Linked DNA regions of Pelodiscus sinensis. The protein of the gene in region 2 interacts with the protein of the main gene of each other region in a pairwise test. Links are inferred from orthologs where the notes say so. Each region holds a gene or a part of one and is shown on either strand. Other genes may lie near its edges.

What was found.
Region 1: the proteins of DACH1 (region 2) and RNF14 interact in binary tests that used the Homo sapiens proteins (3 or more experiments, as listed by UniProt). The two-hybrid records come from large-scale screens. The link is inferred for Pelodiscus sinensis from reciprocal best matches to the Homo sapiens genes DACH1 and RNF14.
Region 3: the proteins of DACH1 (region 2) and C2H1orf35 interact in binary tests that used the Homo sapiens proteins (3 or more experiments, as listed by UniProt). The two-hybrid records come from large-scale screens. The link is inferred for Pelodiscus sinensis from reciprocal best matches to the Homo sapiens genes DACH1 and C1orf35.

The regions. Positions count from the first base shown.
Region 1 is NC_134727.1:24,328,468-24,336,263, reverse strand, and holds the start of RNF14 (E3 ubiquitin-protein ligase RNF14), read left to right. Parts: upstream 1-4,712; 5' UTR 4,713-4,870; intron 4,871-4,973; exon of another isoform or gene 4,974-5,608; intron 5,609-6,945; 5' UTR 6,946-6,954; coding exon 6,955-7,108; intron 7,109-7,796. UniProt on the Homo sapiens protein: E3 ubiquitin-protein ligase that plays a key role in the RNF14-RNF25 translation quality control pathway, a pathway that takes place when a ribosome has stalled during translation, and which promotes ubiquitination and degradation of translation factors on stalled ribosomes.
Region 2 is NC_134711.1:269,754,682-269,762,536, forward strand, and holds the start of DACH1 (dachshund homolog 1), read left to right. Parts: upstream 1-4,855; 5' UTR 4,856-5,293; coding exon 5,294-6,039; intron 6,040-7,855. UniProt on the Homo sapiens protein: Transcription factor that is involved in regulation of organogenesis. Seems to be a regulator of SIX1, SIX6 and probably SIX5.
Region 3 is NC_134712.1:252,797,955-252,805,864, forward strand, and holds the start of C2H1orf35 (multiple myeloma tumor-associated protein 2), read left to right. Parts: upstream 1-4,826; 5' UTR 4,827-4,971; intron 4,972-5,917; exon of another isoform or gene 5,918-6,355; intron 6,356-7,785; 5' UTR 7,786-7,854; coding exon 7,855-7,910.

The DNA.
Region 1 (7,796 bases), on a different chromosome or scaffold from region 2:
TGTTGCTGCTGTGGCTGGCAGAGGCATAGCCAACTGGCTTTGCTGACATGCCACCTGTCTCCACCCTCCTGGAGTGCAGACACAGTAGCGGCCAGAAAATGCAGGGATTGTTACCTGCTGATGGAGACAGTAGAGCTACCTGGCCATGCCTCTGGCAGGGATGGGAAGCTGCTTACGGGAGCCACCAGAGGTGACCATGCCCCATCTGGCATCCTGAACCTCTCCCTTGCCCCAACCCCCTTTCTGAACCCAAACTCCTGGAGCTCATGCCCTGCAGCCCCTTCCATGCCTCTGCTCAGCACTCCAAATGCCTCCCTCTTAGTTCACCGGCATTTTCAATTTACCAGCATCCCTGTTCCCCCAGTGTGCCAGATGAAAGGGCTTCAGCTGTACTTGCTTCTATAAGGCCTGCATTTGAAATGCTTGGTTTTATTATCTTCCAGTAAGATAAATTTGGTTTTTTTAATGAGCTGCTCTGTGACTTGGCTTCTAGTATTCATAATTGTCATAGAAACCTGAAAACATTAATTTTGTATGTTTTAAATCAAAAGTTGAAACATCCACACATTACAAGAAATAAATTCACTGGATTGTACTGGGTTATTTTTTTTTAATTGTCAACTGTGGCCAAGGTAACTGTTACAATTTAGGTTGGTGATAGAATTGAGGTCTGTCACTAATCAATTTATTTGCCACAGGGATGTATTTGAAGGAACAAGAAGTTGCAGTGTGTACAATCTGCTCATTTGCTCTTTCCAGACAAATGAAAGAATTTGTGTTCCTATAATAAATTAATTAGAACATTGTGCTTCTACTATAGCTCAATTAAATCAATTTTATGGGGTATCAGAAATGGTATACATCTTAATATCTTAAGGTAAATGGTTGTGGCTAATTAACCTGCTGTTAAATGATAATACCAGTTTTGCAATATTTCCTGTACAGTGCCTGTTCACAAGAAGCTCCCAGAACTCGTAATTCATAGTATTTGCAGCACCCATTTCAAGTACTGGAAACATTTTAAGAAAAAGTGCTATACGGCCTACTGTGAAACATTACAAGTACTGCTCCAAATGATCTCTGAGCTAATGTTAGGACTCATCAGCCTTCATCAGTTTAGCTTGAATTACTTCAGTGCTAGCTCTAGTTACACCACTAACACTCCTATAATCCCACTCATCCTTCAGTGAAAGTACTGGAAACCTGTGGTATCATACACCTCTTCCCTTTCCATCCTCTAGTTCCACCAATTAACTATACTTCCTGTTTTTCAAAAAGCTTGTTTGAGGATGGAATCCCATTGATATATGAAGATTCAGCAAATGTTAAGTAGCCATAGGTGTGTAAGGTCAGTATAATAGGGGAATTTCAAACAATTATCTAAAACACAGAAGATCACTGGCTGCATCCTTGCTTTACATTGCTCATATTGATGGTATTAGATACTATGCTTTGCTTCAGAATAGTTAACAACTTATCATAAACTGTTATTTGTCTCTAATGGGATGTGGCTTCTCAGTTGCTGGAGTCAACCTTGCGTGAATTCAAATTTGATTTCAGTGTGTCTTTTGCTGGTACTAGCTGTTAGAAGAACAGATACCTTTAATTTATCTGATCATAAAATATGGCCTTAGTTATTCTTGAGTCAGCTGTACAAATGATAGCCAGACCAAGCTATCATCAAACATAACAGCTCTTGTGCAAAGGCTGGCTATTTTTGTAACTTTGTTCAGGCTATAGTTGTCTTGTCTCCTCCAGATAGTTCTGATTTCCTTTTGCTTCTGATAGTGTGTGGGTAAGGGATGTCTTATTTTTGAGAACTTGCTCTATATCTGTGGTGTGCAACCAGTTCTATTGCTTTTACAAACAAGCCACACTCAACCAGCCAAATGGCCACATGTGGCTAGCGTAGTGGATGCTATATTTTTGAAAGATCAGTATAATTGGATTCAAAATTTGAAGTACATTTTAAGTTACAGTTGTGACTGAAATCCTGGATACATTGTGTACTCTGAAGAGAAACCAACCTACAGATTATGCTCCATTTGATTCTCTCCATCACCCTTCTCCATCTCCTCTTCCCCCTCCCGCCCATGGTGGAGCTAACACAGGCAACAAGCAATGTTACTCATCAAGTTAGTATTTCAACCAATGCAAAAAGTATTTTTCAAAAAGAGGCCACAATTTCTTAAATGTGTAAACTATCAAAACTTAAAATCTAGCAGCACCTTAAAGACTAACAAAACATGTAAATGGTGGTATGAGCTTTTGTGGGTACAACAAAAGCTCATGATATCACCTACATGTTTGTTAGTCTTTAGTGCTGCTAGACTATTTATTGTTACATTTTTCCAGTTAGACTAGCTTGTTAAACTATCAGTAAAGTTAAGTCCTTCCTAGGAAGAGTTTACAGTTTGATAGGCAAGATTACATAAGGAACTGAATTAGGAGAACCAGAATTAAAAGGAGAACAGCATTGCTTGAGTTGTGATGGTGATGGATACTTATTTACCAACTTTGAATCTATCACTTATTTGCAATCATCATCCCTGAAATGCTTCGTTTGTCATTTTGAAGTAAATGGAATTATAATTAAACGAAATTCCCTTTTTTTAAATTCTGCATTGAAGGGCATAAACATGCTTCCTCCAAGTTTTGGAATAATAGGTTAAAGTAACTGATTTTTAAAAAAAGTTTAACAATGTTAAAATGCAATTTCTTGCCTGTGAGAATTTAAGCAGTTTTTGGTTTGACACACACAAGGTGGGTAAGGTTCAATAAAAGGTATTGATTCCTGTGACACAAGTTTTGAATTTACACAAGGCCCTGTGAATTTGCAGTATCTGATGGGATTGCTTTTTTCACCTTTAGTGATTTTTCCAAAATAAAGTTTCAAGAAACTTAAACAGCAAATAGTCCTGTGGCACCTTTAGGCTATGTCTACACTCGCGGCTTCTTGCGCAAGAACATCTTGCGCAAGGGTTCTTGTGCAAGAAAATGTCCACACTGCCATGTGCATGCTATGCTTTTGCACAAGAGCTCCCATGGCAGTGTGGATGCTCTCTTGCACAAGAAAGCTCCGATGGCCATTTTAGCCATAGGGCTTTCTTGTGCAAGAAATCCCTGCTGAGTGTCCACACTGCCCTCTTGCACAAGAGCTCCTGCGCAAGGGGGCTTACACCTGTTAAGGAGCATAGCTCTTGCGCAAGAAGCCCTCTTACCACACCATACTGTAAATTTCCTTGCGCAAGAGCGTGCGGGCAGCGTAAAGGCTCTGCAGATTCTTGCGCAAGAACAGTCATACTTGCCCAAGAAGCCGTGAGTGTAGACAGAGCCCCAGAGACTAATAAAAATGTAGATGGTATCATGAGCTCTTGTGGGCACAACCACTCCTTCAGATGAATCATCTACATTTTTGTTAGTCTAAGGATGCATAAAAATATACCCTTACCTTGATTTAAGCTACACAATTTATGCCTCCAAATAAGATCATTTTGAATTTAATTTTGAAATAGTGGTATTTTGACAATACCAGAAGTAGCCTGAAATAGCTCTGTTGTGTAGATGTAGTCTGAGGTCCTGCAGACTATTGGCTGTTAAGTTTTCTAAAATAGAGATCTATCATTAGTGGCATTTAAAACAGTATAACTTAGTTCATTATGGCTACGTCTACACTGGCCCCTTTTCCGAAAGGGGCATGCTAATTTTCAACTTCAGAATAGGGAAATCTGCGGGGGGTTTAAATAAAGATGTCCACCGCTTTTTTCCGGCTTGGAGAAAAGCCAGAAAAAAGCATCTAGACTGGTGCGATCCTCTGGAATAAAGCCCTTTTCCGGAGGATCTCTTATTCCTCCTTCAAAGTTTAAAAGGCAGCAAAGGGGGCCACCTAGGAGTCATGCTGGTAAAGCAGCAGCAGGCAAGAACTGCCTTCCTGCCAGAGCACCAGAAGTCAGGTGCTGCCTCCTGCTGCTTTGGCTAGGTTCCAGCGCAGCAGGAAAAATCTGTGCAAAAGTCCCTGCACACCTGTTTTCCCCAGGAGAAGAAACAGAAAAGTGCAGCCACGTGTAGCTATGCTGCCATTTCTGGGATGTTTTCAGTGTTTTATGGGGCACCTGGACAGGCAATTAAAATTTGGGACTCTTCCAGATTTTCTGGGCCGTATGGTCAGCATAGTCATGGTGGTGCCCAGCCAAACCTCAATATTGATGCACAAGCCAAAACTCATTCTTCTCACAGTTGGAAAAATCTTAAAGGGAGCACTGGTCCGCACTGCCATTACTAGTCTATACTAACCCCTCAGTACCTCCCCAAATAACTCTTTGAAATACAAGCAGCAGTGTTAATTTGAAATAAGCCCATTATTTTGAAAGAAGAGGCGTGGTGATGTGGCTGCTCACTGGGCTGGCCCACACCCACTGAGGCTCCCTGCAGCCTCGTTTAAAAGGCAGTCATGGCTCTTGCTGCAGGCAGGTTTTTGGTAGGCGAAGTTGCTTCTGCTCTAGGACGTGCTTTCTCCTCCGGTCCCCGCACGCTTAGCACCTAGAGCACGTGCTGGGGGCCAGGCGGCGGCGAACACACCCCGCACTCTCCAGCGCTGGAGCTGCCAGGGCTCGCAGCCTCGGGAAAGCCAGGCTGGGCTCCCACGCGTCTGCGCCTCGGCTGGACGTAGACGGGCGCCGCTCAGACCTTCCTCTCCTCTTGTCCGCGCGGCCCGCTGACCAGCCACTCCCCCGTCCCGCTCCGCAGGGCCCTCCTCCCTCCGGCAGGGGGCGCTGGCTCCTGGCAGCGCTGCTTAGAGCTCACCGGGGCCGCTCTTGGGCCCGGCCGTGCGGGGAGGGGCGGACAAGCGGTGGAGGCCGCCCGGGCCCAGGTGAGAGCGGGGACCAGGAGGCTCGCGGTCCGTAGCTCGGCCGGGGCCCGGCGCTGGCAATGCGCGGGAGACGGGGGTGCTGAGGCGACTGGAGCCGGGCAGCCCTGAGGGGAAGGGCGGGGCTGCCTGGGAAAGTGTCTAAGAATCCGGGGCCTGACGCTTCTCTCCTAAAGTCCCGTGGGAGCGCCCGTGCCAGGCCGGCGTCTCCTTTCAGGCGCTTCCCCTTCCCTCGCAGCCCTGTCCCTGTGCGGGCCAGAGCCCTGGACCCGTCTGCCGCCCCCACTTCTGATGGAGGCAGCGGCCCGAAGGGGCTAGGCTGGGGCTGATACTTGCGAGGACCCCGCTTTCAAGCAGGCTCCCTGCGTGTGTCAGCTCCCTGGACCTACCTGCCCCTCCCCCCCTGTTGCTTCCTTAAAATCCCATTTTCCCCCCTTCCCCAGCACCAGCTCCCCGGTGCCACCTGCTACCCACTCTCCCTTCTGTGCTTCTAGCTCCTGCCTGCCACCCTGCATTGCTGTCTATCAGAGGCTGGCAGGAGGCTCCTTGGAATATACTGGCTGCCAGCCCTGGCCCCGGGGACTATCGACTAGTCAGTCATGTAATGATAAGATTTCATGTGTTTACACGACTGTTCAATTACAGGATATTTAACATCCTTAGTGTTTACCTGGCTTCATGCCCCCACTGCTTCAATTGGTTGTGATTCCAGTCAATGGGAGCAGCAGGGAAAGCTTCCAGGTGAGCTGTTTCCTGCACTGCTGTTTCCCTGGCTAGAGGGAACACCGAGTGGCAGAATGTGGAGCCACTTCCTTCACAAGCCAGATCTGGCCTGGGAGGTTCTCCTCCACCCTGCAAAGTGGGAAGCCGGTGCTGGCACTCCAACCTCTCAAGGAAGACTGTGGGACTGGACCACCACTGCAGGGGAGGAGCCTGTGGCCCACCTGCAAGATGGTCATGGACCACACTTGGAGTATTACTGCCCTGGGTGTTGAGCATTATGTGTTTGACACTGGTCTGGAGTTAGTGGACTCTGTGGTGTTAACTCAAGCTGCCCAGGCTAAAGTTAAGTGTTCCAGCAAGAGTGGGCACACTGGGAACTGGAAATATTATTTGATTTGCCTCCAAACAATTGTGAGAGAAGCTGAGGGATTGTTGTAGTTGAGCTGCAGTCTGCACTCCCCTGACCAGCCAGCCAACCTGAGTTCAAAGTGTCACTGCACTTAAGATTTTTGTGTGTGGTCAGGTATTGGATTAGGGGCAATACTTGAGTTATAACTAAGTCTTAACTGCAGCAAAGACAAGCACTAAGTGTTGCAGGAGTCTGAATCCATGTATGCTGTACATCTGTGCTTCTGTAATGTAGACAATACTTCAATGGAAGGGATTTTTTGGAGGGCTAATTTTTGGTGTCCTGGACAGAGCAGCCCCTGCAAGGCTGGAGTAGTCTCCGGCCCGTGGCAGGTGGAGAGCTGCTCCAGCCCCACCAGTTAAATGGTTAAACTTTTGCAACCCTAGTGTAGAGAGGTACCTGCACTATCTTTCATCTAGCTAGATAGTTTAACAAGGCAGTGTGGGCTGGTAGTGCAGGCACATAGCCAGGGGACCATAATGGTCTTGGGCTGCCCACTATTACATCCTCGCTTCCTTCTTTAGTAAGTTATTTAAAGATAGCCTGGGTACAGCTACATAAGCTGTCATTTTTTTTCTTTCTTCAGTCTCCGATTTCCATCTCATCAAATGAATAAAGTGTAACCTTGATACTATTAGCACTGCCTTACATATTTCATTCTATAGTGTTCTTCAGCCGTTGACTTTCTAAGAGTTAGTCTCTGATTATCTGGGTTTTGAAGAGAGCCATTTTTTAGAACTTTAAAACTGCCAACAAATGATAGAGCATGTGTGGGATCTGTAACTGGAAGAAAAAGAGTAATTATGTATGGTATGTTTTTATGTTGTGCTATTGTGGTTTTTTTTATTTTCATTTCAGTGACATTTATATATATACGCACACACACAGACCATTCAAATTGTCTATTTAGTCCTTGATTTTTTTGGTTGGTTTCTTAATTCTGCAGAAAAGTTAAATGTCTTCAGAAGATAAGGAAGCTCAGGAGGATGAGCTGCTGGCATTAGCTAGTATTTATGATGAAGATGAATTTAAGAGGGCAGACTCTGCCCAAGGAGGAGAAACAAGAATTTGTCTGGAGTTGCCCCAAAATTTCAAAATATTTGTGAGTGGTGAGTCCAGATGTTTTTCATTATTCTAAAATGATTTTTTATAAAAAAAATACTTTATATTTTCATACATATATTCCAAAGGTGGCTCCCCAAACATTTTTATTTTATTTTCGTGAAACATCAAAGTCAGGAACAATTTGTCATACATTACGTTATTCCATGGGGGACTCTAGAAGCAAATTGATGTAGATATTTGAGTTACTTTCATGTCCATCTAGTGTGTTTTTGCATTGCATTGCATTTTTGTAGTGCCTTTCACCCAAGACTCTTGAGTTTTGAAATATTAGATAAAGTACATTATCATTTTTAAAATGTTTTAAAGAAATATTGCTTACTATCACAGGTAACACTGAGCATTACTGTAAGTGTCAACTTTGAGAAAATATTATTTTGTATTTGTTCAGGGCATTGAATTCTATATTGGACACAATAGTGCGTGTGTAGTTAGCTTCATTGGTTCCCATATGCAATAATTCTGTTTTCCTTGTTTGTATAGGCCAAATTTGGCTACGGGAATAACAAGTAACAAACACACACTTTTAAACTTTTGGCCGAGGGACTTGAAATTATGTTTAATTCTGTTTTTAATTGTATCTCTTTTAAGCTTCACAGTCTGTGAAGTGGGTATTAACTCAGAGAGGTGCCTTTGCTTCATAGACTCATAGACTCATAGACTTTAAGGTCAGAA
Region 2 (7,855 bases):
TGACGACTTCTATATAATTTTCAAATAAGCAAGATGCTTCATGAGCGTTTGGTAGATCTAATTTGCATACTGGGGGGATGGGCAGGGAAAGAAGATTGATATCCATTTTGGAGGGGGGAGGTTAGTGCAACCTTTTCTTTGGTTAGATCATCCGTTAAAATCAGTACAAATAACCCTCTCGTTACTCCTGGGGTTAAAAGGGAGAGACCTGAAGTTATCCATTTGAGACTAAATCCTTATTTTACCATAGAATTCAGTGGGAGTATCGCGTGATCAAACGTCGCGAGAGAAGGCCCTTACGGTCTTCAGTGAAACTGGTGAGGCAGAGTGTACAATTAAAAAAAAAATAAAAAAAAAAAAATAAATAGTGGGATAATCCATTTCCAGTGAGATACTTTAGACGTGTAGATAGCTGAGAACTGTGTTTTAAAGCGAAGACCAGACCACAATTTCTCCCAAGTTCTTAATGTTCTCAAAACTTTTATGGCTATTTTTAAATACCGTCCGAGGGTGTGATTTTTTTTAACTCATTTTAAGTTGTTCGGCGCATTTTTTTTGTTAAAACACTTAGCAAATGTACATGTTCGGGGTGATAAACAAATGTTAACTATTGCCATGTACTGTATCTTATGATATATAGTGGACTATTCAGAAGTGGATGCTATTGTTAAAGCTGTTTGCACCGGGCGTGCTAATGCACTGTTTGATTGAGTGAATTAGCAGTCATAACAATCTGGCAGTCTGGCCATAGAAGTGTGCTCAAATTGATTTGTGTTATGGCTGGGCTGGAAAATCTAGTGTTAGTTGTTTTTTTTTGCCCTGGGGCATTGTTTGTACCAAACTCCACTTTTCATTTAATTTTCCAATAGATTCCGAAAGACTTAAAGGTTTTGGGATCAACATTTGGTGTATTTTCTTTATTAATTATTATTTTTATTATTACTAAATATCCTACAAGTAATTTCAGATTCCCCCCAAACCTTGCTTTCAATTAAAATAAACATAATTAGCGTGACGTCGTGCTTGGAATGGTAAGTCTTTCTTTGCAGCTATTAAGCATGTTATCATCTTGTCCAGTATGTATTTGTATTGGGTGAGGTTCGGGCTAATTTTACTATAATGCAACAATTTCGAAAACTAGCACTGTGGTATCTAGTTTCTAGTTGTTGGTACGAGATGTTACATCTATCTCAAATGTATTCGTGTTTTCAATACATATTTAAAGGTTCAGCAAATATCTTAGTGAAAAAAGGACCCCAGCATCTAAGCTTACATTGTTATAACTTTCCGTTTTCCTTTCAGAATGCATGGGTGGTTCGATATATGTCACCTTTTACCCTGGCTCCCCGCAAACATACAGGTAACTCCAGGAAAAGGGACGCTGAATGGAGAGCCTAAATATTTAAAGCACAACGAAACTTACAAATATTTACAAAAGAAAGGTATCTTCCTCAGAAGTCTTCTGCTTTGCAATCGTTTGCCAGAATTATATTGCAGTATGAATAAACCTAAAAAAAATGCTATTGATCATATAGAAAGCTTTGTGAAATCATGTAGTCAGTTTCCCCACTTGAAAAATCGGTGAACAAAATAGGTCAATAGCTAAGAATGAGAGGCGATAAAATAGAATAGTGTATTTTTCGGGAGGGGATGTCAAAATAAATGCAGATAGAATCTATGTTAATGAATTTAACGTATGTCTGGATATATATCACTATCTACCTACCTTCTTGCACCAATCCCCTCTCCTTCTTCCTACCCGACATTCTGAAGTTAGTATTCTTCTGTTTGACTGAAATTATTTACAGTAACAACTGGTGTCTAGAGGGTGCCAGGCGGTCAGGTATTCAGAGTACTTAAAATGAACAGCTACAATACATTTCCTAATTACATCTTACATATTTCAGCTGACCGTAAAACTGGATTTAATAAAATAGTGAGCTCCGGAACAGGTGCTGATTTTTAAAATAATAAATTATAACTATCCATTCATCTTACTGTTTCAATATACCTTCTCCTTCACCGAAATGGTCATAAAGAGGGGGAAAAAAACAGAGTACCTGCCCTGAACTGTTATGTGAGCACAAGAGAAACCCTGCTTCAAACAATATCCCAGGAATAAAATTAAAGACTTCTTAATTAGTGCAGCAATTAAGCCTTCCTGGTCGCATTTTAATCAGCACAGGCCCTATCAAAGGACAAACAGAACGATTTGCAGGTCTTTGAATTTTAAGCAGTCTTATTGATTTCAGCACCATAAGTCTTCACTTGACACAGGGAGAATTCTCAAATCAGTTCTAGTGCTTAGAGTTTTACTGATATACATTCTGGGGTGTTGGGAGGCGAAGCTAACAATATCATTTCTTGAAAGGATCGACGTGACATCAAAATGCAATATGAAAAAAAGTTTGAAGAGAGGAAACGACAACTACCATTATTTGTTGGTGTGAGTCTCTGGGTTAAAATAAACCCAGTTTGCTTTAATTGCTTGGAACACTCACCAAGCAAGAAGCTTTGAAGATTCTTGAACCGTTTCATAAATGTGTTGGTTTCTAATCCCATTGTTTCATTAAAACAGTACCGTTAACCAAAACTATTGTAGCAAATAATTTACAAACCACATTTTTAAACTATTTAAAAACACAATGGGTGTCCTTGAGAGCACACATTTAGAAGAAAATCAGGAATGCATCCTGTTGCAGAGTAGGTAAAGAGCAAGTGATATGTGGCAGGGACATGGGGGAGGCGTTTTGAATAAATTCAGAATTCATTCAGGGATTGAGGTGAAATGGTTACATCACAACTGTTCAGCCCTGCATTAACTTTCTCAGGCGCATGTTTAATGACTATCGAATGTATATGAGTGTGTGAAAATAGGGAAATTAAAAGAGTGACTGCCAGCAGTAGGTTTTCAACAACTTTGATCCAAGTTACCTGAAAATAAAATAATTGCAATTCGGTTACATCTTCAAGGCCTATAAAGTATTTTCAACGTCAGGCTGCACCACAATTAAAGTTCCATATGCATTCCTATTTTAAGGTTTGTTTGTGTTTCTTGAACTTTGTAACTTGTATTGTTGGTACACAAGATTCAAGTTTGAATGTGATAACCGAACAGCTTTAAAAAAGAAAAGAAGAAAAAAATAGAGTATTGGGAAAATAAAAGTTCACTCGCTGAAGACACCTTATGGTATTCATAACTAAATAAACTGGAATTTAAAAAGCAATCTCACAGGTAGTGAGGAAGCAAGTCATAACAGAACACTAATAGCTATTGGCAAACTGAAAAAGTGATTTCCTTCCATATTATAGAAATAGTTTCCATTAAGATTCTTATCATCCATCTAGACTTGTAATCCCATGATTCTTGTCTCATATAAATATTACACATTTAAAAAAAAGAACAGGCAAGGGTCAGGTTGAGTCACAGACTACGAGTGATTAATTTACATTGTTTAAAACCCCCTAAATAATGCGTATAGTATTGCTGCAGCTCATACATTTGTACAAAGAATATTGCTTTGTTAAAAAAAAACCAGAAACCCCCCAAATAAATAGAAGACCAAAGCAATTCCCCCAACCAGAACCAAAAAGGAAATTCCGAATTCAGACTAAAATGTTACCTTTAACCCTTAGAATTTCCAGGAGTTACAGTATATATGCGGCCTGATCCCACAATTCAAATATATAACTGCATAGCTTATAAAATTAGCTACTGCGCATGTGTGGGCAAGCGCAACAGCTAATTTTACAGCATACCTGCTGATACGGTCAAAGTATCAATGATCAAACTTGGATGTGTGGCTTGCAGTCACCTGTTGTTCACAGACCGTTGCAATACCTAGACAAAACAGGGTGGGAGTAAGCATTCAGTTTCAGCTCTGTGACTTCTTGGCTATTTTATTGAAAAGTTACTTCAACCTGATTAGAACAAATGTTACAAACTAATTCTTTTCACACGTTTTAGTTAAAAGACCTCCTTTTTGGTAGCTATCACAAACACAATCAATCAAACGTGAGTTGGATCCTATGTGCTATGAAGGCAGCCATAAATGCCTTTCTTGTTTAACAGCGTTACACTTGTGATCAAAAAGTTCATGGGAGCCTACAGATGAAAACAGGCACTTGTTCATTGCTTTAAAAATTACTGCGGTCGCCCTTGCCAGAAGAATCCTTTAGCACAAAAAGTGCTATTACTAAATTGTATGAAAAACAAGTGCTCGGTATTCTTTGATCCATAAATGTCTCGTTTTCTGTAAATATTTTTTCGCTTGCTTTTCTTTCTCCTGTAGTGCTACATGCTCCTTACAATTACTAGTCTTTCACACAATAAAGGGATCTAGTGATAATTATTATGCTCTTTCTGGAATCTTATTATTAACTTTCATTCCTGTCACTTGGCTTGTTTGCTGTCTTGAGAAATATAATCCGTTTTTTTGTTTGTTTTCAAATAGATAGGCTATTCATAAAGAGTGCTTCGTAAGGTGTGTAGTCGAGTAAAGTTCCGCCCCCTTCCTCTACTCCCCATGTTCTACGTTATGAAAAAGATGCGCCCTAATTCTTGTAAGAAGAAAAACTTGATGTGTTCTTGGTTCTCTGTCAAGAGTGTTTGGATCGCTTAGAAGTGTTTGAAAATTACATCTCGTCTCTGTTGAGATGAAATATGAAACATATAATCTAACGGTTTCTGGGGAGGAGGAGGAGGAAGAGGGATCTCTCTCTCTCTCTCTCTCTCTGCTCCGGGTTCCTGGTTGGATAATTTGGGTTAATACTAGTGAGTGAGGCTTTTGCTGCTTCAAAGGGTATTTCAAGTTGCCGGAGCTCCTCCCCTCTGCACCGTGTGACAACAACAACTCGTCCAGAGAGCTAGAGAGCGAGCGAGCAGCGAGCAGCAGCAGCCAGCACTTTTCAGCTCATTTTCTCTCTGTCATTCCCCTCTCAATCTTTGATCAATGTACTTGCCAGAGAGAACCGAAGTCCTTCAAACCTCCTCCTTTTCACCTTCATCTTTAACTTGGTGCTAGAGCAAGGACCACAAAACAAACCACCCTCCGCCGCCCCCCTTCCCCTAAACCCTAACCCTACTACGCGCAGCGGACTTCTCCTTCCCCACTTGCGGGACACTTTGTGCATTTCTCTCTCTCTCTCGCTCGCTCTTCCCCTTTCTCTGCCTCTCGGCGGCAGCTGGCTTGGGGCTTCCCCCCCCAAGTCTCTCTCCCCTCCCTCCCCCCTTTTTGTCAGCGCGGCAACTTTTTTCCCCCTGCCCCTCACCCCCCACTTCGTATATGTGACCATGGCCGTACCGGCTGCTTTGATCCCTCCGACCCAGCTGGTCCCCCCTCAACCTCCGATCTCAACTTCTGCCGCTTGTACCACCACCACCACCACCTCGTCGGCCACCTCGTCTCCGTCTCCGTCCCTCGCTCCCCCGCCAGCCTCTTCGGGGACGAACCTATTCCGGCCGGAGCCCAGCGCGGCGGCGGCAGCAGCAGCGGCGGCCACAGTCACCTCTACCACCAGCAGCGGCGGAGGCGGCGGCAGCAGCAGCAGCAGCAACGGAGGAGGCGGCGGCGGCAGCAGCTGCAGCCCCAGCCTGGGCACCAGCAGCAGCAGCAGCAGCAGCGCAGGCGGCGGCGGCGGCACCTCCACCCCCAGTGCCAGCACCGCCAACAGCAGCAGCGGCAGCAGCCTGCCGGGCAAGCCGGTGTACTCGACCCCGTCGCCGGTGGAGAACACCCCCCAGAATAATGAGTGCAAGATGGTGGATCTGAGGGGGGCCAAGGTGGCCTCTTTCACCGTGGAGGGCTGCGAGCTCATCTGCCTGCCCCAGGCCTTCGACCTCTTCCTGAAGCACTTGGTAGGGGGCTTGCACACCGTCTACACCAAGCTGAAGCGGCTGGAGATCACGCCCGTGGTGTGCAACGTGGAGCAGGTCCGCATCCTGAGGGGACTGGGGGCCATCCAGCCTGGCGTGAACCGCTGCAAACTCATCTCCAGGAAGGATTTCGAGACCCTCTACAACGACTGCACCAACGCAAGGTAAAGACACCCCCCCACACACACACGTTTCTCCGCTTCTCCCCTCCCCCCCCCCTCCGCCTCCGTCCCACCCTCACACAGGCAGCCCTGACACGCCGCCCGGGCAGCTACCGCTCCTCTTCCTAGTGGTGCCGCTCAGCAAGCCCTGGAGCAGCCTGCTCTCTTCGCCGCGTGCCCCTCTCCCCCTTCCCTGCTGCGGGCGCACGGGGCTGGGCCATGTGCTCCGAGTGGGCCAGAAAGGTGCTGGGTGGGGGGTGTCTGCTCTTTCCTCAGCCGCTTTCAAGTGTCAGCCCGGTGCTGTGCGACTCTTGACCCTCCCCCCCACCCCCAGGCTGCATGGGCAGGGCGCCTCCTTCCTTCGAGCGCCGGCTGGGGAGGGGGGCGTGGGGCTGGGGCGAGGCGTGCACCAGGAGAGCTGATTGTAAACTCTGGGCTGAGAGTGATTGCTCTGACCCCCCCCCCCCGGGTTGAGTTGTATAAAGAGCCACGAGGCAGCCAGCAAAGGTGATGTGAAGGCGGGGGCGGGGGAGGCTGAGACTCCTTGGGAGTCGGTGCACAGCGCTGGCAGGGCTGTCTCTGAAGGGTGGCCCCGCATGCAGGCCTGGCTGGCTCCCGAGCAGCGGCCGCGGGGATCGCTCGGCAAGGGGCGACTAGATGTGTGGCAACTGACGGCTGTTGCCACGGGGGACGTGGCGTTGCCGGAGGGGTCAATAGGGGACAGTTGCAAAGGGCCAGGCCCGTCCTGCTCTCTCTGGTGGTGGGCTAGTCCCAGGGAAGCAGGTGCGTGAGCGAGGCGAGCGAGTAGGTGACTCGCGGGGAGCAGAAGTGTGGAGGGGATTTGTCAGGGCTGACTCATATTACGGCGCATCTGATTAACAGTCCGGCGTGCAAGGGGGCGAGAATCACACATGGGAAGGGAGGGCAGCGTTCCAGCTCGGGACAGATCGCAGGGCACCCTCACCCGTCAAAGCACTCAGACAAAGGGAGCCAGTGATAATCTCAAGTTGGCGCAACTGGGGGGAAACTGACAAAAGAGGAAATTCCTTCTGAAGTAACAAGCTTGTTTAAAAACGGCGAGTGAAAGAACGGGGCTGTTCCCACTAAATCTGTCTGATTAGGAAAGGGAGGCAACGGGAATTAAACAACTGCTGTGAGCTAAAGAGCAGAGTGTTTGGAAGCTTCTTCACTTCATCGAAGCCTCTGTTGGCTTGTGGGGGGGGGGGGGGGGTGTCTGCTGGCTTGAAACCGTTCTGGAGCTTGGTGGGAAACTTTATAGAGTAGTTCAGATTTGCCATTAAAGAGTCTGTAAGCAGAGTCGCTTGTCAGATGATGTTTTCATTAAACGCAAACAGACTCTTCCAACTCATAATTTGGATTTCACTTTTTTCCCCTGTGAGATTTTAAAGATGCAGCAGCGGCAGCACGTGGGGAATTAACCCCCGATGAGACTTTGTTCATTCAATTTTGTAATGACTGGGTGCGACTCAATTCTTTCTTTCCCTCTCCTTTAATTAGGGGGGGGGATGGGGATGTTGGACTCATTATCCTAGAGAGCAAGGCAAAGGAAAGCACTCGTTCGTGCCTTTACGTCTAGCTTGATTATCTAAGTTTTCAAATATACAGGGGAGCAAGATAAATATACCCTGGAATAATTTTAGAACATTGTTGCTCTCCTATAACAACTTTCCTCTTAGTTGTGTACTAGACATTGTGGTGGAATCAAATGAGCATGCAAATGAAGAATAATACAATGCAGTGTTATATGTATTGAACAAGACTGATTTAAAAAAATGTACGGGCTTTATTTTTTGTGACT
Region 3 (7,910 bases), on a different chromosome or scaffold from region 2:
TTCAGCTACATTATTTAGGGATGTGAAAAATTTTGCACCCTGTGCACAGAGTGACTGCTTCCCCTGTGTAGGTACAGCTACTGGCTCCTAGAGAAATGGATTGCCAACATCAATAAAAGATCTTTTCCCATTGATGTAGGGTGTCCTTATACTACAACAGCCTGCAATACTTCTATGGCACTCGTTATTATATTATCTGAGCACTGCACAGTCTTTTGTATATTTAGCCTCCCAACACCCCATGCAGTGGTGGTGTCATTTTACAGAGCAGGAACAGAGGCTAAGTAACTTTCCTAACTCTGTCATAGAGCAGAGACTTAAATGCAGTTGTCCCTAGTCCTAGGCTTGCGTCCTACCCTCTTACCATTCTACCTCTAACTGTCCTATCTGCTGAGATTACCAGAAAAGGGGACCAGCTCTTGTCTCTGTACCCATTAAGATTTTGTGATGAGGAATAAGTCTACTGGGAGCTGGATTGAGTCTCCCACCACCAATGCCTTTCACACCCTGAGCAGCCAGATAGTATAAGCTTTTGCAGGAAGGCCAACATGCTTCTCACCTCAGTTTTAAAGACTTTGTACATTGAGTGTAAATGAGTCACTGCAGGACTCAAGTTAACATTCAGGGGTAGTTACAGTTTTCACGGTAGTTTGAAGGAAGCAGTATTGAGGCTGTTTGGGTGTTTGAAGTGATTGCTTAAGATGTAGGCCTTCTGTGTGAGATGGCGTCCAAATCAGGTTTTGCTGTAATCTTACATTTAGATAGACTTAGAGCCTTTCTTCCCACAAAATCCCAAAGCACGTGACAAGTGATGAGAATCACTTGATCCACTGCAAAATGTGGCCACCTCAGGAGAACATGTCAGCTGTTTTCCCCCAGGCACAGGAACACAAGGGAACAGATTAAAGCAGGCAGTGTAGATCAGCATCCTAATCAGTGGAAGCTGCAGAAAAGCTAGACAAGGCTGCATGTGATTTCAGGTGCTGAAATCTGAGCAGGAGAGTGCAGTGAACAGCTCATACTTACAGAACATATCAGGGATCCTTCCATGACCAAGGGCTTCCATGTTCAGTATTTAATCAGACTTGAAGAAAATAATGTTGGCCCAGTCTGATAATTAGCCTTCTCTTGGAAAGAGAGAAGGACCCACAGTTTTCATTGACTTCAATGACAGCTGAAAAAACCCAGTAGTTTACAGAATCCGTATGCCCAAAGGATGTGTGGTGTACCAAGAGATGGACCTCAGCAACATTTGTCAGAAGCATAAATGGGTACAACGTAGTAAAGATCAAGTTCTGAGAGTATGTGGGTAGGGAGGGCTAGGACTCATAGCTGGAAGATGGAACTTAAATAATTTTGATGGGCAAAATAAGAGCTGACTTCAGGACTCCCAAACCAGTGTTTAGATTAGAGAGAGATCTCCTCCTATCCAGCCCACAAAAACATACAGCAATTATACAGTTCTGCAGACAAGCAGCAAAACTAAAATTGACGGGGAGCGAGCTATGCTGCATCTGCAACAATCCATCTTATGATTTTCACGCTGTAGCCCTTGCTCAACTATTTCCTTCTACCTTCCTTCCTTAGTTGCTACTCCTCATGTTCTGACTGTCTACACTGAGGTGGTGACCAAGCAAAAGCTTACACCCATGTGTAACTTTACTCATGTGAGTAGTCTCATTGATTGCAAAGGGGCTGAGTAAAGTGAAAGATATGTGTGCTTGCAGGACAGACTAAGGTCTATGGGAGTGCTTTGATCTGTAAGAGATCCTGGTGCTTTGTCCACATATTCATTCTGCTGATACCATTATTGGACCTAACCAAGTGAGTTATAAGATCAAGAACACATATTCCTGCGCATCCAGAAATATAATCTATGCTATCATGTGCCGAAAGTGTCCATCTGCTATGTACATTGGACAAACATCTCAGACACTTCGCCAAAGGATTAATGCCCACAAAACAGATATCAGACAAGATCACAAAGAAAAAACAGTTTCTTGCCATTTTAACCAGAAAGGACACTCTCTCAGTGACTTAACCACCTGCATTCTGCTACAAAGACCTTTTACATCTGCACTTGAAAGGGAATCCTCTGAACTGTCATTCATGTTAAAATTCGACACTCTCCAAAAAGGAATGAACAAACACTTGAACTATCTTACCCATTATCAAGATAGCTTCCCCAATTATCACCTCTAATACCATTAACTCACAAACATCCCACTCTCCCCACCTCTAATATCAATTCACAGACACTTACCTTCCTTCCTCCCCCCTCCCCCTGCATTCCCCTTCTGTTCTGAAATGTGATTTGTCCTTTTCATATGTGTTCACTTTTTTTAATTGTATCCTTTGGTATATATGGTTGTGACTATTTTCTTCCACTATTTGATCTGAGGAAGTGGGTCTGGCCCACGAAAGCTCATCATCTAATAAACCATCTTGTTAGTCTTTAAAGTGCTACATTGTCCTGCATTTTGCTTCAGCTACCCCAGACTAACACGGCTACATTTCTATCACTATGGTGCTAAATGATATGCATGTGGTATGTGCCTGTGGATGCATGAAGGCCATCAGTGCACTAAGCCAAAGATCTAATTATCTCAGTCAAGAAACAGACCTTACATTCCTTCAGGATGGCATTTAATGTAAATAGGCTGCAAACTCTGAGATAAAGGGGCTATTTTAAGACCAGCCAAGATACCCAAGCTGGGTCACTTTGACATGTAACCCTTTGGCTTCCTTGTAACTTTCATGAGTGATTTTTAAATGTGTGTGTGTGTGCTTGTTGCCTCAGTTTCCTTCTCAGTAAAATGGAAACTGAGTTACTGACCTCCTGTGCGAAGGGCTTTGAGAGCTATGGATGGCAAGTGCTCTATAAAACAACATTTTTATTAACAACCAATCTCAAAATGTTTTACAAACCCTAAGACATGAAGTCTTATAACAGCCCTCCCCTGCCCATCTCTATGTGTGTGTCTCTTTTTCACATACACACCCCTTGGCTATGTCTACATAGGCATGATTTTGCACCAGAGATATGCAAATGAGGCTAAGCATGGAAAAACAGTTTCTTGCCATTTTAACCAGAAAGGACACTCTCTCAGTGACTTAACCACCTGCATTCTGCTACAAAGACCTTTTACATCTGCACTTGAAAGGGAATCCTCTGAACTGTCATTCATGTTAAAATTCGACACTCTCCAAAAAGGAATGAACAAACACTTGAACTATCTTACCCATTATCAAGATAGCTTCCCCAATTATCACCTCTAATACCATTAACTCACAAACATCCCACTCTCCCCACCTCTAATATCAATTCACAGACACTTACCTTCCTTCCTCCCCCCTCCCCCTGCATTCCCCTTCTGTTCTGAAATGTGATTTGTCCTTTTCATATGTGTTCACTTTTTTTAATTGTATCCTTTGGTATATATGGTTGTGACTATTTTCTTCCACTATTTGATCTGAGGAAGTGGGTCTGGCCCACGAAAGCTCATCATCTAATAAACCATCTTGTTAGTCTTTAAAGTGCTACATTGTCCAGGCTTCATGAACTGGGCTTGTTTAGTTTGGAAAAAAGAAGATTAAGGGGGGACATGATAGCGGTTTTCAAATATCTAAAAGGGTGTCACAAGGAGGAAGGCGAAAATTTGTTCCTCTTGGTTTCTGAGGACAGGACAAGGAGTAATGGGCTTAAAGTGCAGCAGGGGAGGTTTAGATTGGACATTAGGAAAAAATTCCTAACTGTCAGGGTGGTCAAATATTGGAATAAATTGCCAAGGGAGGTGGTGGAATCTCCCTCTCTGGAGATATTTAAGAACAGGTTAGATAGACATCTGTCAGGGATGGTGTAGACGGAGCTTGATCCTGCCTTGAGGGCGGGGGGCTGGACTCGATGACCTCTCGAGGTCCCTTCCAGTCCTATTATTCTATGATTCTATGATTCTATGAATATCTCCGGGCCTCATTTGCATATCTAATGAGCTGCCATTTTTGTGGAAGAGGCTCTTGAGCCAGAAGGAGCTGTCTACACTGCCCCTTCTTGCGCAAGAAAAACCCTCTTGCGCAATGCCGCTACGCTGATTATTTTCAGGAATAACGGCATCGCGCAAGAGGGTTTTTCTTGCGCAAGAAGGGGCAGTGTAGAAATTCCTTCTGGCGCAAGAGCCTCTTCTGCAAAAATGGCGGCTCATTAGATATGCAAATGAGGCTCGGCAATATTCCACACTTAGCCTCATTTGCATATCTCTGGTGCAAGATCACGCCAGTGTAGACGTAGCCTTTAGCTACGTCTACATTGATATGATTTTGCGCAAGAACTCTTTTGTGGAAGAGTTCTTGTGCAAAAACTCTTCCAGAAGAGAGCATCTACACTGGCATGTGCTTTTGCGCAAGAGATGTGTTTTTGTGCAAGAGCATCCGTACCAGTGTAGCCGCTCTCTTGTGCAAGAAAGCTCCAATGGCCATTTTAACCACAGGGCTTTCTTGCGCAAGAAATTCATGTTGCCTGGCTACACTGCCCTCTTGTGCAAGAACAGTTGCGCAAAAGGGCTTATTCCTGAGCGGGAGCATCATAGTCCTTGCGCAAGAAGCCCTGAGTTCACGCATTAGACCGTCAGTGTTCTCGGCCAGGACTCCCCGCCAGTGTCGACAGGCAGCAAGCTTTGGCACGAAAGCGGCTGCTTTTGCACAAAATCATGCCAATGTAGACACAGCCCAGGTGTCTCTCACACAGTGTGTTGCAGGCACTGGTACAGACACAGAAGCCCTGTCACTCACACACACACACAGAGTTGCTGCTGCGTGTACGTCTGCGCGTCCCCTCCCCTCCCCGCGCGGCGCCACTTGGTACAGCCCATGCTCCCCCGGCTGCCCCTCGCGGTGGCGGCTCCCGCGCACGGGGCTGACGCTGCCGGAAGCGGCTGGGCAGGGGGCTGCTCGGGGAGAGCCCGCGCGCCGCAGGTATCCCGGCGGGGGGAGCGCGCGCAGCCGGCAGGGACAGTGCGCGTGCAGCCGGGGGGCGCAGGGACAGTGCGCGTGCACGGGGGGGGGCGCAGGGACAGTGCGCGTGCAGCCGGGGGGGGGGCGCAGGGACAGTGCGCGTGCAGCCGGGGGGGGCGCAGGGACAGTGCGCGTGCACGGGGGGGGGGCGCAGGGACAGTGCGCGTGCAGCCGGGGGGGGGGCGCAGGGACAGTGCGCGTGCAGCCGGGGGGGGGGCGCAGGGACAGTGCGCGTGCAGCCGGGGGGGGGGGCGCAGGGACAGTGCGCGTGCAGCCGGGGGGGGGGGCGCAGGGACAGTGCGTGCACGGGGGGGGCGCAGGGACAGTGCGCGTGCAGCCGGGGGGGGGGGGGCGCAGGGACAGTGCGCGTGCAGCCGGGGGGGGGGCGCAGGGACAGTGCGCGCAGCCGGGGGGGGGGAACAGGGACAGTGCGCGTGCAGCCGGGGGGGGGGGCGCAGGGACAGTGCGCGCAGCCGGGGCGTGGGGTGGGAGGGCAGGGACAATGCGCACAGCGATGGGGGGAGGGGGGGCAGACACAGCGTGCGCAGCCGGGGGGGGGGGGGGAACAGGGACAGTGCGTGGACAGTGGGGGGGGGCTCAGGGACAGGGCGCGTGCAGCCGGGGGGGGAACAGGGACAGTGCGTGGACAGTGAGGGGGGGCACAGGGACAGTGCGCGCAGCCGGGGTGTGGGGTGGGAGGGCAGGGACAGTGCACACAGCGATGGGTGGGGGGCAGAGACAGCGTGCGCAGCCTGGGGGGGAACAGGGACAGTGCGTGGACAGTGAGGGGGGCGCAGGGACAGTGCGCGTGCAGCTGGGGGGGGCAGGGACAGTGCGCGCAGCCGGGGCGTGGGGTGGGAGGGCAGGGACAGTGTGCACAGCGATGGGGGGGGGGGGCAGAGACAGCGTGCGCGGCCGGGGTCAGGGACAGTGTGTATGTCGGGCCCGAAAGCCACAGGCCCACCCTATGTATCCCGTGTGAAATGGAAACTGCTCCAGGCCAGGGGGTCCCTAGCAACCCTCCCCCCACTTCCAGCCCCCATGGGAGGGGAGGGGAGCCTGCCTTAGAGCCAGGCAGCTGTGGGCCTGGCACCATTGACTCGCTTCCTCTCCGCCTGCTGGCACTGGACTCGTGTGCGGCGCCAGCCCTGCGGAAAGGCCCACGAGAGGGGAGATGTGGGTTACTGTCACTGGAGGAACGCCGAGAGCTAGGAAATGCAAAGGAAGGAATGATTTAGAGCCAGGCTTCTGCACACCTTTCCCTGGGCATGTTGATTGGGAGGGAGGCTTCTGGGCTGGTCACTGCATGAAGAGAGAGAGAAAACCTAGAGGAACTCCCCAGTCAGTGAGTTTTGTTCCTTATGACTGTGGGGAAAGCAGGTTGTGTTGCTCCCGTCTCTCGTGAGGTCTTTGCTGAGGGGAACTCCTGTTTCCAGGAGTCTGCAAAGCATCTTGTGTGTGGTCATGGTGCAGTATAAAAATACCCATATTTGTACATGCTAAAATGGGGGTTAATTACGTCCCACAGTTCAGGGCACAAGCTGATTGCCATGAGGGTCAGGAAGAGCGTCTCTTCTCCCTACACAGCTGCGAAAAATCTGTCAAGGGCGCTGTGGGTGTTTTGCCTCCCTCTAGAGCAGCGGTTCCCAACCTTTTCCAGATGGGGACCCATTTTGACAATTCAGGAAGACTTGGTGACCCAGGGCAATTCAAAAAATGTGTGAATAGCTCCTTAAGAGCCACCTGGGGAGACACCTGGCCACCCTTGTGAAATGTAATGGTGACCCATATGTTGGGAAATCCTGCTCTAGAGCCCTGTGAGGCCTATGTCAGGATGCTGCCTCCACAGAACCGAGGGTCTGCCCAGGTGCACAGCTCCTGCATTCTGCTAGATGTGACCTGCTTCCTCTCATGCTCCTCCTGCTTCTGGATAGCTTGCAAAGGGCATAGATGGCTGAAGGAAGTTTTTCTTCACTCAGCGCACAGTCAACCTGTAGAACTCCTTGCCACAGGATGTTGTGAAGATTAGGACTTTAACAGGGTTAAAAAAAGAGCTAGATAGATTCATGGAGGTTAGGTCCATCAATGGCGATGAGCCAGGATGGGTAGGAATGATGTCCCTAGCCGCTGTCTGGAAATGGGTGACAGGAGAGGGATTAACATGAGGATTACTTGTTGTGTTCCCTCCCTCTGGGGCACCTGGCATTGGCCACTGTCGGCAGACAGGACACTGGGCTAAGTGGACCTTTGGTCTGACCCAGTCTGGCCGCTCTGATGTAAGGAGTCTGCCCTGGGGCACCTACTCTGAGAGACAGCCTTGCTCTTCTGTACGGCTGGGACAAGGCCACCTAGCACTCTGCGTGGCCAGTGAGATGGGTTCAGCTTTCTGCCAGTGTAAACCCAGGGGCTGAGGAAGGTCATGATGACAGAAAACAGCTTTAGCCTCTCCAACCCTGGGCCAATAAGTGGGGGTGCCCATGGGAGGTGCTCTCATTTTATCCCCGTGGAACCCCAGCCAGCCAGAAGCTGCCTCGGGGTGAATCCCCACAGAGGTATTGGTCGGAGTGGGCCGGCACAGGAAGGTGCCATTCACAGCACCCCGGGTCAGCTGCAGGAATTCATGCCGATTCTAGCAGTCAACGTCCCTCTCTTAGCGACTTTGAACATTTTCCCCCTCCATCACGATGCAGGCCTGTTGTAAGCCAGTTGGCTGTGGGGTGTGATCTGTAACCTTTGGGATGATCTTGTTGTATGTTCTATTTCTTGACGACTCAGGGCAGAGAGCTGAGCATCCCGTGGTGATCGATTTCGTTTCCAACGCAGCCGACTGTTTCTTCCCGCACCATGTTTGGCTCATCCAGGGGAGGAGTGAGGGGGGGGCAGGACCAGTTCAACTGGGA